Linked DNA regions of Macaca mulatta. The protein of the gene in region 1 purifies or fractionates together with the protein of each later gene. This does not show direct contact. Links are inferred from orthologs where the notes say so. Each region holds a gene or a part of one and is shown on either strand. Other genes may lie near its edges.

The links. The genes of interacting proteins can lie anywhere in the genome.
Region 2: the proteins of SERTAD4 (region 1) and PPP2R2C purify together in Homo sapiens (affinity purification with mass spectrometry; 3 studies listed by BioGRID and IntAct, counting the BioPlex papers as one, with this or other methods). This does not show direct contact. The link is inferred for Macaca mulatta from reciprocal best matches to the Homo sapiens genes SERTAD4 and PPP2R2C.

Annotation. Positions count from the first base shown.
Region 1 is NC_133406.1:67,976,551-67,982,554, reverse strand, and holds part of SERTAD4 (SERTA domain-containing protein 4), read right to left. Parts: intron 5,864-6,004; 5' UTR 5,847-5,863; coding exon 5,672-5,846; intron 4,338-5,671; coding exon 4,222-4,337; intron 2,247-4,221; coding exon 1,467-2,246; 3' UTR 1-1,466.
Region 2 is NC_133410.1:6,711,414-6,717,402, forward strand, and holds the end of PPP2R2C (protein phosphatase 2 regulatory subunit Bgamma), read left to right. Parts: intron 1-1,289; coding exon 1,290-1,581; 3' UTR 1,582-3,832; downstream 3,833-5,989. UniProt on the Homo sapiens protein: The B regulatory subunit might modulate substrate selectivity and catalytic activity, and might also direct the localization of the catalytic enzyme to a particular subcellular compartment.

The sequences.
Region 1 (6,004 bases):
TTTATCTTGGAGAAACTGGGAGGGTTTACTTATTTCCTCCATTTGGCATTTGGTTTCTGTGAAGTATTGTTTAAACAGGTCCAAGTCAATTAGTAAACCTGGAAACTGGAATGGCAGGAAGAGTTGGCTGGAGTGGAAGGAAGGATGGTAGGAGGGCCACTCTGAACACTTTTCAAACGTACAAATTAAAGATATTATTTGGAAAATGTAGACCAAATACATAGTAACTATTATAAATTAAGTCCCATTTCTCCAAAATAACTTTCAAAAAACTAAAGTCTTTACATTCTTTAAGATAAACCTTAATGATCACCACATCATTTATAACATTGTGCTTCTTAATCAACAGCAAAGTTCATATATAAAAACCCACATGCTTTTATAATCTAAACAAGTGAAATGATGCAAAACAGAGAAAAGTATAATGCATGCCACTGGTTCGTGAACTTCATTGGACAAGAAAACAAAACAAAACCCAAAACCCAGAAAACCCAAACCCCAGCAACAGACAGTTGCCATAGAAAAGCTCGAGCAGCCCGTGCTGCTTTCTAACAGCTCTCTCTCATTTCCTCCATCCCTATTGAAAAAATGCCAAATCCAAAAGCAATTGGGCATCAAAAATAAAGGAAGAATAGAGATGTCGAATCAAAAGTTGAACACAATAGTTCAAAGTTAACAGTTTCCACACCATATTGATCCACCCTGTTTTTTTTTTTTTTTTCCTGTTTGTTAAATCCCTGCTGTAACTCTGATTTATCCTTAATTTTCACATTGGCAAAAATTAAGATAAAGTAAGGCACCAAAAATCGCCCTGTATAACACCTCTCTAAAAGCCTCATCACCCATCACAGGCAAGCCAGAAACTTGCAGGGAATACCCTCTCTGTGTAAGACTGTTGATTGCCGCCCCTAGACAGGTGTGTTTCATTATGTTACATCCTATTTTCATCTGTCACGCAAGACTGTTAGGTACAAATACTTAACAGCACCATTAAGCCATTTCATCTAGCTCCCTGTCTTCAGTCTTTTATTTAAAAACAAAATTATATCATATAGAAGAAGCAGGTATCTTTGCTGGTTATATTGATTTGCTTACCAAATAACTCCCTAATTAATCGGCAAACATGTAGAAATTTCTTAGCTAGTGACAGGCTCCTTGGGGGGCAATGGAAATATTGCAAGGGCACATTGTCCCCCAATCTAATCTACTGGTCTTTTCTGTCAGAAAACTATGATATACTTTTAAGCATTAAGTCAATCATTTCCTTGGTAAAAATCACCACATTTATAAGAAGCTCGCTGATGCCTACTATACAGATGTTTTATGCAATCTGCTCTCCAGGCATTAAAACGACACGGCATGTTCATGGCATAATTTTATCAGTTGTACAAAATCCATTCAAAATAAAATTTATGAGAGCTAACTGATCATGCTGTGCATGCTTCAAAGTTCGGTGAGAAGATGGCTCATATTTTACTTCCTTTGCTGCAGCACAGTTTGTTACTTGGTGGCGAAGCCTCCTTTTTCCGTAAGGACTTTTTCCAAGATTCATTTACATTGTTTCTTTCATTATATCCGGTCTCAAAATAATCATAAAATTGGCCTTTGCACTCAAAAGCAAGGTCATTTCCCACAGGTTCATGGCTGAGGGGGCCACCATCTCTGTTGGTGTCATTATTTGCTTTCTCCTCATTTAATTTGGCCTTTTCCTGAACACCAAGTGATCTGACATTAGTGACAAAGATTTCGTTGGCAGGTATCTGGCCATCACTCTTGTAAACAGGTGCACTGCCTACATCGAAATCCACCTGGTGGGAACAACTCGGTAGAGACAAAGGGGGAGAGGAAGAGGAGGATGAGGAGGAAGAAGAGACGGAGGGAGAGGAGGCAGCGGTGGAGGCACTTCCAACATTAGCATTGACAGAAAGGGGTACATTTAGGTAGTGGCCACCACATTCTTGGTAAAAGCAGCAGGCATGAAACTTTTCACATTCCTCTTTGGCCATCCGTGGTCGTTTTCGGTAAGGGCAGTCTTGAGCCATAAACCACTCTTGGGCAGAGGTGCCATTGAAAGAGCAGGCAGGGAAGCACCAGTTATTCTGCATGATAATTTCTCCATGGATCCTTTTCATCAAATTGTTTATAAGGACAGATCTTCGGAGGTATACTTCAGGGTCATCGATAAACTTTAGCTTTTCTAAGGACATATAAAGGATGTGGGCTCGTTCCTCAAAAATTGAGATGGTCTACAAACCAAAACCAAAACCAAAACCAAACAAAACAAAACAAAAAAAACAAAAAAGGAAGAGAGAAAGCTTAGAAAATGGACTATAAGAAAACACCATCATAGCATACTTCTTTCTTGGCACTGTCTGGGTCTGGGCATGTTGTGGTCTTGTTCCCCAAGGTTCATTTAGAGAGGCTGTCCCCCATTCTGCCGATGTTCCCTTTTGTCACTTGGCTGGAGTGCCCACCCACTTCCTGATCCACTGGTATGGCCAAGCACTAGGGAATCAAGCCACAGTGCAGACCTCAGGAGGGACAGTTCAGGTGGTTTGATCTATTATGGCCCAGTAAGGAAGATGCTGAAACACAAAACTAATCTAAGCTATTAGAAGTCAGGAGAGGAGGTACTTTCAGAGTTGGGGTGAGTGGGGCAAAGGGTAGTGTTAAAAGCAGGTCAAGGAGGATTCTGGTTGCTGGTTATGTTTTGGTTCTTGACCCGGATGTTAGTTACATGGATATGTTCACCTCATGAAATTCATCAAGCTGTACTGTGATACTTGTACTTTTTTATGTGTGTCTACACAAATACACATACACACAGACACATAACTCATATATTATACATCAATACGTGTTTTTAAAATGATGTCAAAATGCAAGTCACAATGAATATACTTCAAACCCTGGTCTAGCCATCAAGGAGCATGAGATTTGGCTTTTAATACTGTCCCTCTTTTAATCCTTTGGGTTTCATACTTGCAATTATCCTTGCTTGATAAGAGGACACAATAATGAATGAGGCTCAGGCCCTGACAGAATCTGTCAGTTGAAGGACCAAAGTAGGCTTCCTTGCGGAGCTGAGTGGGAGATGAGATGCCGAGAGGAACTGAGAGGGCTCACTCCTGAGCTGTGTGACACTATCACTATGTGATGGTTGGTGCAAATCCAGTAGCAACTGGGAAACTGCTACAACCACAACACAGAAACTAAAAAGGAAATAAACTGCTTGTGTCCGGGGGACCAGCTATTCCAGGTCATCAAAAAAGCAAACTGGCAGCATAACCTGAGGAGCTGTGAACTAAACCAGCCCATACTGACCAAAGGCAGGGACTACACATGCAGGGAAAAGCCCAGTACCTACCAATGCATTCTGCTGTCCTTTCATGAGCAAGGTAAAAGTAACCTCTAAAGGATGAGGTGGCAGAGGGGGAAGACAAGAGAAGACAGAGAGGAAGACGAATTGAAAATCCTCTCTGCATTTCAGACAACTATGGTCTGCAGTTATACCTGCCTCAATTAAATCAGCAGATAGTTATTGAAGGAAGGTAACTCTAAAGAAAAACAAACTGATATTTCAAAAGTTTAGGTGCCCAGTTTCATAATTCTATGCAATTTCCCCACCTTGTTTTTTTTTTTTTTTTTTTTAACTATACCTACAAAAAAGTTAGCTTTGGTCTTTTCTTGGAAATGAAGTATATTTTTCAACAACTTATATGTAACCAATGTCCAGGGAAGTGCATATTTCTACTTGCATACACACATTCAAGGATGGTGAGTCTACCCACAAAAGGTCAGGAAAAGCTCTGCGTAACCACCCCCACGTGGACACACACAGAAGTAACATTGGCTGCAGGAGCCAGAACTTAGACTGGGGAGAACACCACGGGAAAGAACAAGCATTCCACACAAAAGTGCGGAAGAACCATAACCCGAAACGCAGTCTGAGAAATATTAAATCATATGTTAAAAAAATTCCTTGGATTACATAATTTTGACATTTCTGGGTAGAACAGCTCTTGCCAGCTTTTTCTTCAAGTACTTGTGAAAAATAACACAGGACCCAAAAAAGTGACAACGATTAATGAGGCTCCACTGAGAAGTGGCTCATTTTCATTGCTTGGGTGAAACAATTTAATTCCTGGAAGTGGATCAAGCAACTGTTACTAAGTATCTTAAACTCTTAATAAAAATAATGACTATTAAAAAAAAACATACTTTATGGCTACAGCTGCTGAGTGGTGGGTGAAAATCCTCTTCTTCCACATACTTCCTCTTAAAGTATGCGATCTTGGATGTTGTTAGAGGATTTGAAGTTCCCCTGTAATGTGATCCTGTGGTAATAAATCAGATATGACAAATGACATGCGGTTTGCCAGAGGTTCTCCAAACAAAATACTTTCATTTCCTGTCCTTCTAGATGATAACTTGGCTGCATATTTGTCTGAACATGTGGTGATTAAAAATAAACATTTGTCTTAATAGTTGCTATCATATGGAATCCTGTGACCCAGGCTAGGAAAAGATTTCTAGGCAATTATAGAGGAAAATCACATACTTTAGCATTTAATAAATATGCAGAATCTTAAATCTATGCAAAAGGAAACTGCAATATTCAGAAAGTGGAGGAGTGTAATTTCTCTAAAATATATTAGTATTTATTTAAATTGTTTAATTAAACCTATGACAACATAGCACCACTGTTCAAATGCATACATCTTTAACTGTAACCACTGATAACCAAACAACTTTAAAATATTATTGGCTTTAGGTTAGTGAACAAATGGTTATCTGCATATTGGAATTATAACATTCCTTTTTTTCAAAATGCAAAATTCAAATTTTTAAAATTTGAATTAAAATTTTGGGTAACTAATGTCCTTTTCACTCTTCAAAATGTAGTATGCCAACCATGAAGACCACAGTTTTTAATCTTTTTTAGCAAAACAGACTTCATTGAGTACTTGTTTTATATTTTAGTTTATTTTAAAAAATAGCTAATACTGCACAAAAATCCGAAGGAACTTAAACCATAAGCAGAAAGAATCAGGAAGAACATATTTTTATTTTCTTGGCTTTAAATTTTTTCCTACAATCCCAAAGCCAGTTGTGTGCTTAACCCATTTATGCCAGAGGTTGCACATTTTTTGTGTGTGAAGTCAGACCTTGGTGATGACCTTGAACAGCAGGATAGAAATAACTTCCACAAGCTTAGCGTTCCAATAATGGAACACTGAGCCTAAATGGGTTAATAAAGAAAAGAGACACATAGCTGCTGGCGCAAAGTGCCGATTCCTTTATATCTCATGGGATAAAGGTGTCATTGTTGAGCCCACCAGAGCTTTCATAGTTGTGAGAGAACCATATAGTTCCACAGGGCAGAAAACCAAAACCCAAACTCAGAGTTTCAATATCTGGTTTGGCCCTCTTAAAAATACAGAATATAATTCAAGCAGCAGCATGGGTAGACACAGGTTTGAATGCAATTTAAATATCACCTTTGGTCCTCTCTCTGGAGCTCTGGACTCACTTAGGAGAGGTGCACAGCAGCCCGGGAAGCCCTTGGAGCTTTAGCTTTCCTGGCTCAGAGGGGCACTCCAGACACCACCTCCTGCCCACCAGGCTGACTGCAAAGGGCAGCAAGGAGTGGGGGGGTCAAGGGAAATACCTGCCAGCGGGGGACCAGCTCCCCGATCTCCCTGCAAAGGAGCCTGTGCTGGCCCTGGGGGGCTTGGGCCTCCGTAGCTGTCAGCCTCCCATAGTGTTTGGTACCCAGCAATTTCAGCAGCTCCTTCCGAGACAATGGGCTCGCAGAATCTATTCATGGACAGAACCAGAGTCATCTCTGACAGCCTCAGATCTGAAAAGAAAAGAAAAAAAAAAAAAACAAGAATGAAGAAAACAGCCCTAATCAAGAGCAAGCCAAGGGACGGCCTTGGCATCTTCATTTCTTTGCTTTGGGAAACTTTTACTTCTCGGCCCTCCCCTTCACCCTGAAACA
Region 2 (5,989 bases), on another chromosome or scaffold:
CTTGCACCCCACAGCTGCTCCAGGGCCCTGCAGAGGCCAAACCCCAAAACCCTTCCTCTGGGCACAGGCCCACAGAGCTGTGCTTTCTCTGCTGCCTCTTACTATGTCGATGAACTTATCCTTCCTCCCACCAGCAGGATCCCCTCCTTAGGAGCAGGGAGAGCAAGGAAATGGTGTGGAATTCTCTTTAGCAGGATGGCGAGGGCGGTGAGCCTCTGCACATCAGCACTGCTCGCCCCGTCCCTCATGGCGATGCATATTCCTTTATTCACCCGACTCCTCGGGACAGGCGGGCCCCTGGAGGGAAGCAGGGCCTGGTGGTTCTCTGTCCCAGCTGCTTCCGTGGCTACCTCCTGCTGTGGTCACACAGTCCCTTTGGAAGGCCAGGGCTTTCTCTCCTGGACTAACAGAAATTACAGGAGGGCATTGTCTTTTCTTTTCTTTCCTTCTTTCTTCTTCTTTTTTTTTTTTTTCTGAGACGGAGTTTTGCTCTTATTGCCCAGGCTGGAGTACAGTGGTGCGATCTCGGCTCACTACAACCTCGCCTCCTGGATTCAAGCAACTCTCCTGCCTCAGCCTCCCGAGTAGCTGGGATTACAGGTGCCCACTACCATGCCCAGTTAATTTTTGTATTTCTAGTAGAGACGGGGTTTCATCATGTTGGCCAGGCTGGTCTCAAACTCCTCACCTCAGGTGATCCACCCGCCTCGGACTCCCAAAGTGCTGGGATTATAGGTGTGAGTCCCCGCGCCCGGCCAGCAGGGTATTTTCATGATGATTGGGGCAGAGCATAAAAATGATCTTAGCTCCTGGCCTGAGTCTACGTGTTGGTGGCAGCTGACATGTGAGGGGATGTAAGAGACCCCAAGAGACAGGGGAATAGAGGCAGGTGTGGGTTCCCTTTCCAGGGAGTGATGGCTCTGTAGGCTCTGGGCTTGCTTTCTTTTTTGTCTGTTTGTTGTTTTGAGACAGAGTTTTACTCTGTCACCCAGGCTAGACTGCAGCGGTACAATCACAGCTCACTGCAGCCTCTGCCTCCCCAGGCTCAGGTGATCCTCCTGCCTCAGCCTCCCGAATAGCTGGGACTATGGTCATTTAAAATTTTTTTTTGTAGAGGTGGAGTCTCGCTATGTTGTCCAGGCTGGTCCTGAACTCCTAGGCTGACGCGATCCTCCCACCGGGGCCTTCCAAAGTCCTGGGGGTATAGGCATGAGTCCCCACACCTGGGCTTATTTCTTGAGAAGAGGCTCGTGCTCCTCCTCGCCTGACGCCTCTCCTTCTCCCACCAGCGTCATCATGACCGGGGCCTACAACAACTTCTTCCGCATGTTCGATCGGAATACCAAGCGGGACGTGACCCTGGAGGCCTCAAGGGAAAGCAGCAAGCCCCGGGCTGTGCTCAAGCCGCGGCGTGTGTGCGTGGGGGGCAAGCGCCGGCGTGATGACATCAGTGTGGACAGCTTGGACTTCACCAAGAAGATCCTGCACACGGCCTGGCACCCGGCTGAGAACATCATCGCCATCGCTGCCACCAACAACCTGTACATCTTCCAGGACAAGGTGAACTCTGACATGCACTAGGTATGTGCAGATCCCGGCCCCCACCACCCAGCCTTGCGCAAGTCATCCCCGACATGATCTTCACGACCGCAACGCAAGGAGGGGAAGGAAGTCACAGCGCCAACGAGGACAGCCGCAGAGGTGGCAGTGTGTGGACACAGGGAGCCTGGGCCCCCATCCCTGCCCCAGCTTCCCTAGGCCAGAATTGTGTTTGGCAGTAATTGTCTGTTTAAAAAAATAAAAAGGAAAGGAAGCGTTCACCGCCACAAATCATAAAATGGACATGACTGTGGAGTCTTACAGTTCAGGGTTCTTTCATTCACGTCCCTTCACCGTCTCGGTCTGCGGTCTTTACCACATCGATAGGACTTTTTATGCGTCCGGGTTAATTTTTCACTCCAGTGCGTCCTGCTGCAGGGGCCGGAGCTGATGGGAGCTGCTTCCCCCCCATGCCTCACCGGTCCCAGATCAGGGCTCCAGGGACAGATGATGAATCTCAAACGAGCCAGCCAGGGGGTCTTTTGGTTATAAATGGAGCAGTTGGCCCTGTCTGAGAGCTGATGATCTCACCTTTGTATTTCGGAGGGTGAATTCATGCTGAGAATTTGCAGATGCAAGCTTCTTTCCTAGGTTTTCTGAACGTCTTGAAACATCCCAGGTCCCAGATCTGGTGCAGTTTCCCGAGAGGAGCGGGGTGGGGTTTGTCTTCTGCGTGCCTGTGTCCCCTCATCTGATTCACCTGCCGTTTGCTGAGCCTCTCCTGTGTGCTGGGCATGGTGCTCAGCCCTAGAGGCTGTTGACTTACCCCCTGCAGCCCTCCCTGCAGCCGCTTTCCCCTCGCCCTTCAGCATTCACTGGGCACCTTCCTGGAGCGGACACTGGCTCCCATTCACGATTTTTTGGAATCTTCCTCCTGACTGCGAGGTGGGTGTTCATTCATTTCCATCATAAGCACCAACTTCTTGAAGCGTGCCAGGCTCTGGGCTGGATGCTGGGGATAAGAGGAAGCCTTAGGATCCCCTCTGTCCACGAGAAGAAACTGAGGCTCTGAGCAGATGCACAGGTCACCCATGGCAGGCGCCCGCCAAGCAGTGGTGTCAGGAGCCCGTCCGGGTCTTCACACAAGGTTCTCTCCAGTCCATCTCGTGGGTGGCTCATGTTTAAGTGACACTCGAATGGAAGGTTTGGAAAGGAATGCCTCTCTGTCTTGGAAAATAGGACATGGCAGACTTGGCTACGACAAGGGTCCAGGAGAACTGAAACGCAGGATGGAAGATGGAGAAGACCCCCGGAGCTCCTTGCTCTGCTTGGTGGCTTCAGGAGTACAGCCCTCCCCGGGACTCCACTTCACCCTGGGCTTGCACCCTCCTTGAGCCAATGCACTGAACTGCCTCTGAAAGGAAATTGCATGTTCTGACCATTTTAGGATACCTTTACTTTAAGGACCACACAGTCCCAGAGGACGTGTCCCTTGGGAACTCTGCCCCTCTGACAATGAGGGCGACAGAGAAGGTGGTGTTTCCATGGTAGATGCTCCTGTTCTGATGATACCACACCTGCCCACCCCTCTGAGTCGTCTTTGCTCATGGACTCACAGCAGAACCACGTAGTTTGGCATTTTGATTCAGAAAGCGAGGAGCAGAGACCCAGCCAAATCCAACCATTTTGTTTTGTTTTGTTTTTTACAAGATGTAACATAACCCAGGAAATAGACCCAGCTGAGGTTATTCTCAGTGGATTACAGTATACTTTTGTGTGTGTAAAAGCACAAAGTGCATGTGTACTCACTTCTGGCCATATAACATTTACACAGGGAAATGGATCACTGATTTTTTTTTTTTAATCAACGTGAATGAAGAATGTTTGTTTATATATCACTATAAAATCCAGTTGACCTGGACAGTATTATATGTACATATCTATTCTAATTAAATTTAACAATCAAAGGATTGGATTACTTTTTCCCCCTTGTAAAGAGGTTTGAGAATGTGGTTAATTGTATAGATAGCGTGTTGAAGCCAAAACCCAGCTCTGAGGGCCTTACCAATTACTTGGATATTTGCTACGATCCATCTCCCTTTGTGAGTCAAATGTTAAGAGAGGAAACTTGTATTTGCAGCTAGAGGTTACTGTCACATCATAGATTTAACATTTACCATCTTCAAAGTACGAATCTTACATGTTCTTCAAAAGGAAGTCTTAATACGGTTCCTAGTTCCTTACTTCTGTTTTAAACTTTGGGTACCAAACCAAAAAGGAGAAAAAAGAAAGGAAAAGATCTTCTTTGAGAAAAAGTATGTCTTTGGATCCCTGGAAAATAATGATGTCCAAAGCGAATTGTGAAGATAAAATGTGTGTTAAGAAAAGGTGTCAGTGGGAGGGACAAAACCAGAAATGGCGGAAGGACCAGCATAATAGTCACAGACTTGCATCCCTGCTCTGCTTACATTTTCTGGTCTTCTCGAATGTACGGGCGTTCACATGGTCGTTGTGAAGTTGTTGGGTTTTTTAAATTTAGCTCTTCTCTGAGGACGAAGCTCTTGGTGATGGGGGTGGTGGTGGGGGTGGTGGAGGTGGTGGTGGTGGAGGTAGGGGTGGTGGTGGTGGTGGTGGTGGTGGTGGTGGTGGTGGTGTGGGATACATGGTGATCAAGTTGTCAGCCCTGATCAGTTTGGACTCTGTAACTCATAGGTGCATTCTTTTTCTCTTTGGTGTCTCACAAATTACCCAATTGTTGAATAAAACTATAAATATGTTAATACCAGCTTTTTCCAATAAAATAACAAATGTTACATCAAAAACGAGGCCCAGGATGCTGTTTGTTTTTAATGAGTCCAACCTCATGGAGGTGGAGCCCATCGGGAGGCAGTACAGCAAGTGGGGATGCCCATGGGCTTTGCACTGGGAAGCTGGGTTCACATCAAGGGTTTGCTGCCTCTAGCTCCTAATTCAGCTCTTAACTTTCCCTAGCTCTGAATTCATCACTGAGGAAATGGAGCTACAAGGACTCCCTATTTTGTAGGTTTGTGGTGGGAGAGAAAGGGCAAGATTAACTTGGATAGTGCAAAACACAGTGCTTGGCACACAACACTCCGTAATGATAGTTGTCTTGTTTTGTCTTGCATCAGGTGTGCACGGCCCATCATGATCTCCACACACACACTCTCCATGAGAATATGATACAGATGAGGAAACTGATTCAGAGAGGTTGAAGAATTAGCTCACAATCACACAGGTAGCACATAACTCCTCATTCAGTTCTCCCCCACAGACGTGCCTGAGGGTCCCAGAGAATGGAAGCCTCGGGGGAGAGAAACGACAGGGTACCTGGATTCTTCAGGAAGCCAGAGAGGCTCTGCCCCACCTGCCACAATTGCTGAGCTAAACAGGAGCGTGTGCGGGTAAGTTTCCCTGCACCCTGCCAGGAGCCAGGCCCTGCCTCTGGCTTTTTTTTTTTTTTTTTTTTTGAGACGGAGTCTCTCTGTGTCGCCCAGGCTGGAGTGCAGTGGCCGGATCTCAGCTCACTGCAAGCTCTGCCTCCCGGGTTTTTACACCATTCTCCTGCCTCAGCCTCCCGAGTAGCCGGGACTACAGGCGCCCGCCACCTCGCCCGGCTAGTTTTTTGTATTTTTTAGTAGAGACGGGGGTTTCACCGTGTTAGCCAGGATGGTCTCGAACTCCTGACCTCGTGATCCGCCCGTCTCGGCCTCCCAAAGTGCTGGGATTACAGGCTTGAGCCACCGCGCCCGGCGCCTCTGGCTTTCAAGAGGGAGTTTTGGGCTTCAGGTTCAGCAGGAGGAAGGCAGGTGCTGTTCTGCGGGTCTGCTTTATTGGGGCTTTATTGGCGCTCAGTTCCACAGCTGCAACCTTTAGCTACAGTGCCAAGTGGAATCTAGTTTTCAAAACTCTGATAATGAATATCTGCATAGTGATAAGAGAATATGGAAAACATAGCCATAGAAACACATGGAGACGCTAAGGAAACCATGGAAATTAGAAGCATGATTGCAAAAATAAAGATCTCTGCAAAGATTGGAAGATATGGTTGAGGAAATTTCTCAGGAAGTAGAACAAAAAAAATCAAAGAGAATCCCAAAGAAAACAGATGAGAAAAAGGGATAACCTTGGCCAGGCACGGTGGCTCACACCTGTAATCCCAGCACTTTGGGAGGCCAAGGCAGGCGGATCACTTGAGGTCAGGAGATGGAGACCAGCCTGGCCAACATAGTGAAACCCGTCTCTACTAAAAATACAAAAATTAGCCGGGCATGGTGGGGCATGCCTGTAATCCCAGCTACTTGGGAGGCTGAGGCAGGAGAATCGCTTGAACCCGGAAGGTGGAGCTTGTAGTGGGCCAAGATTGCGCCACTGCATTCCAGCCTGGGCGACAGAGTGAGACTCCGTCTCAAAATAAATAAATAAACAACAA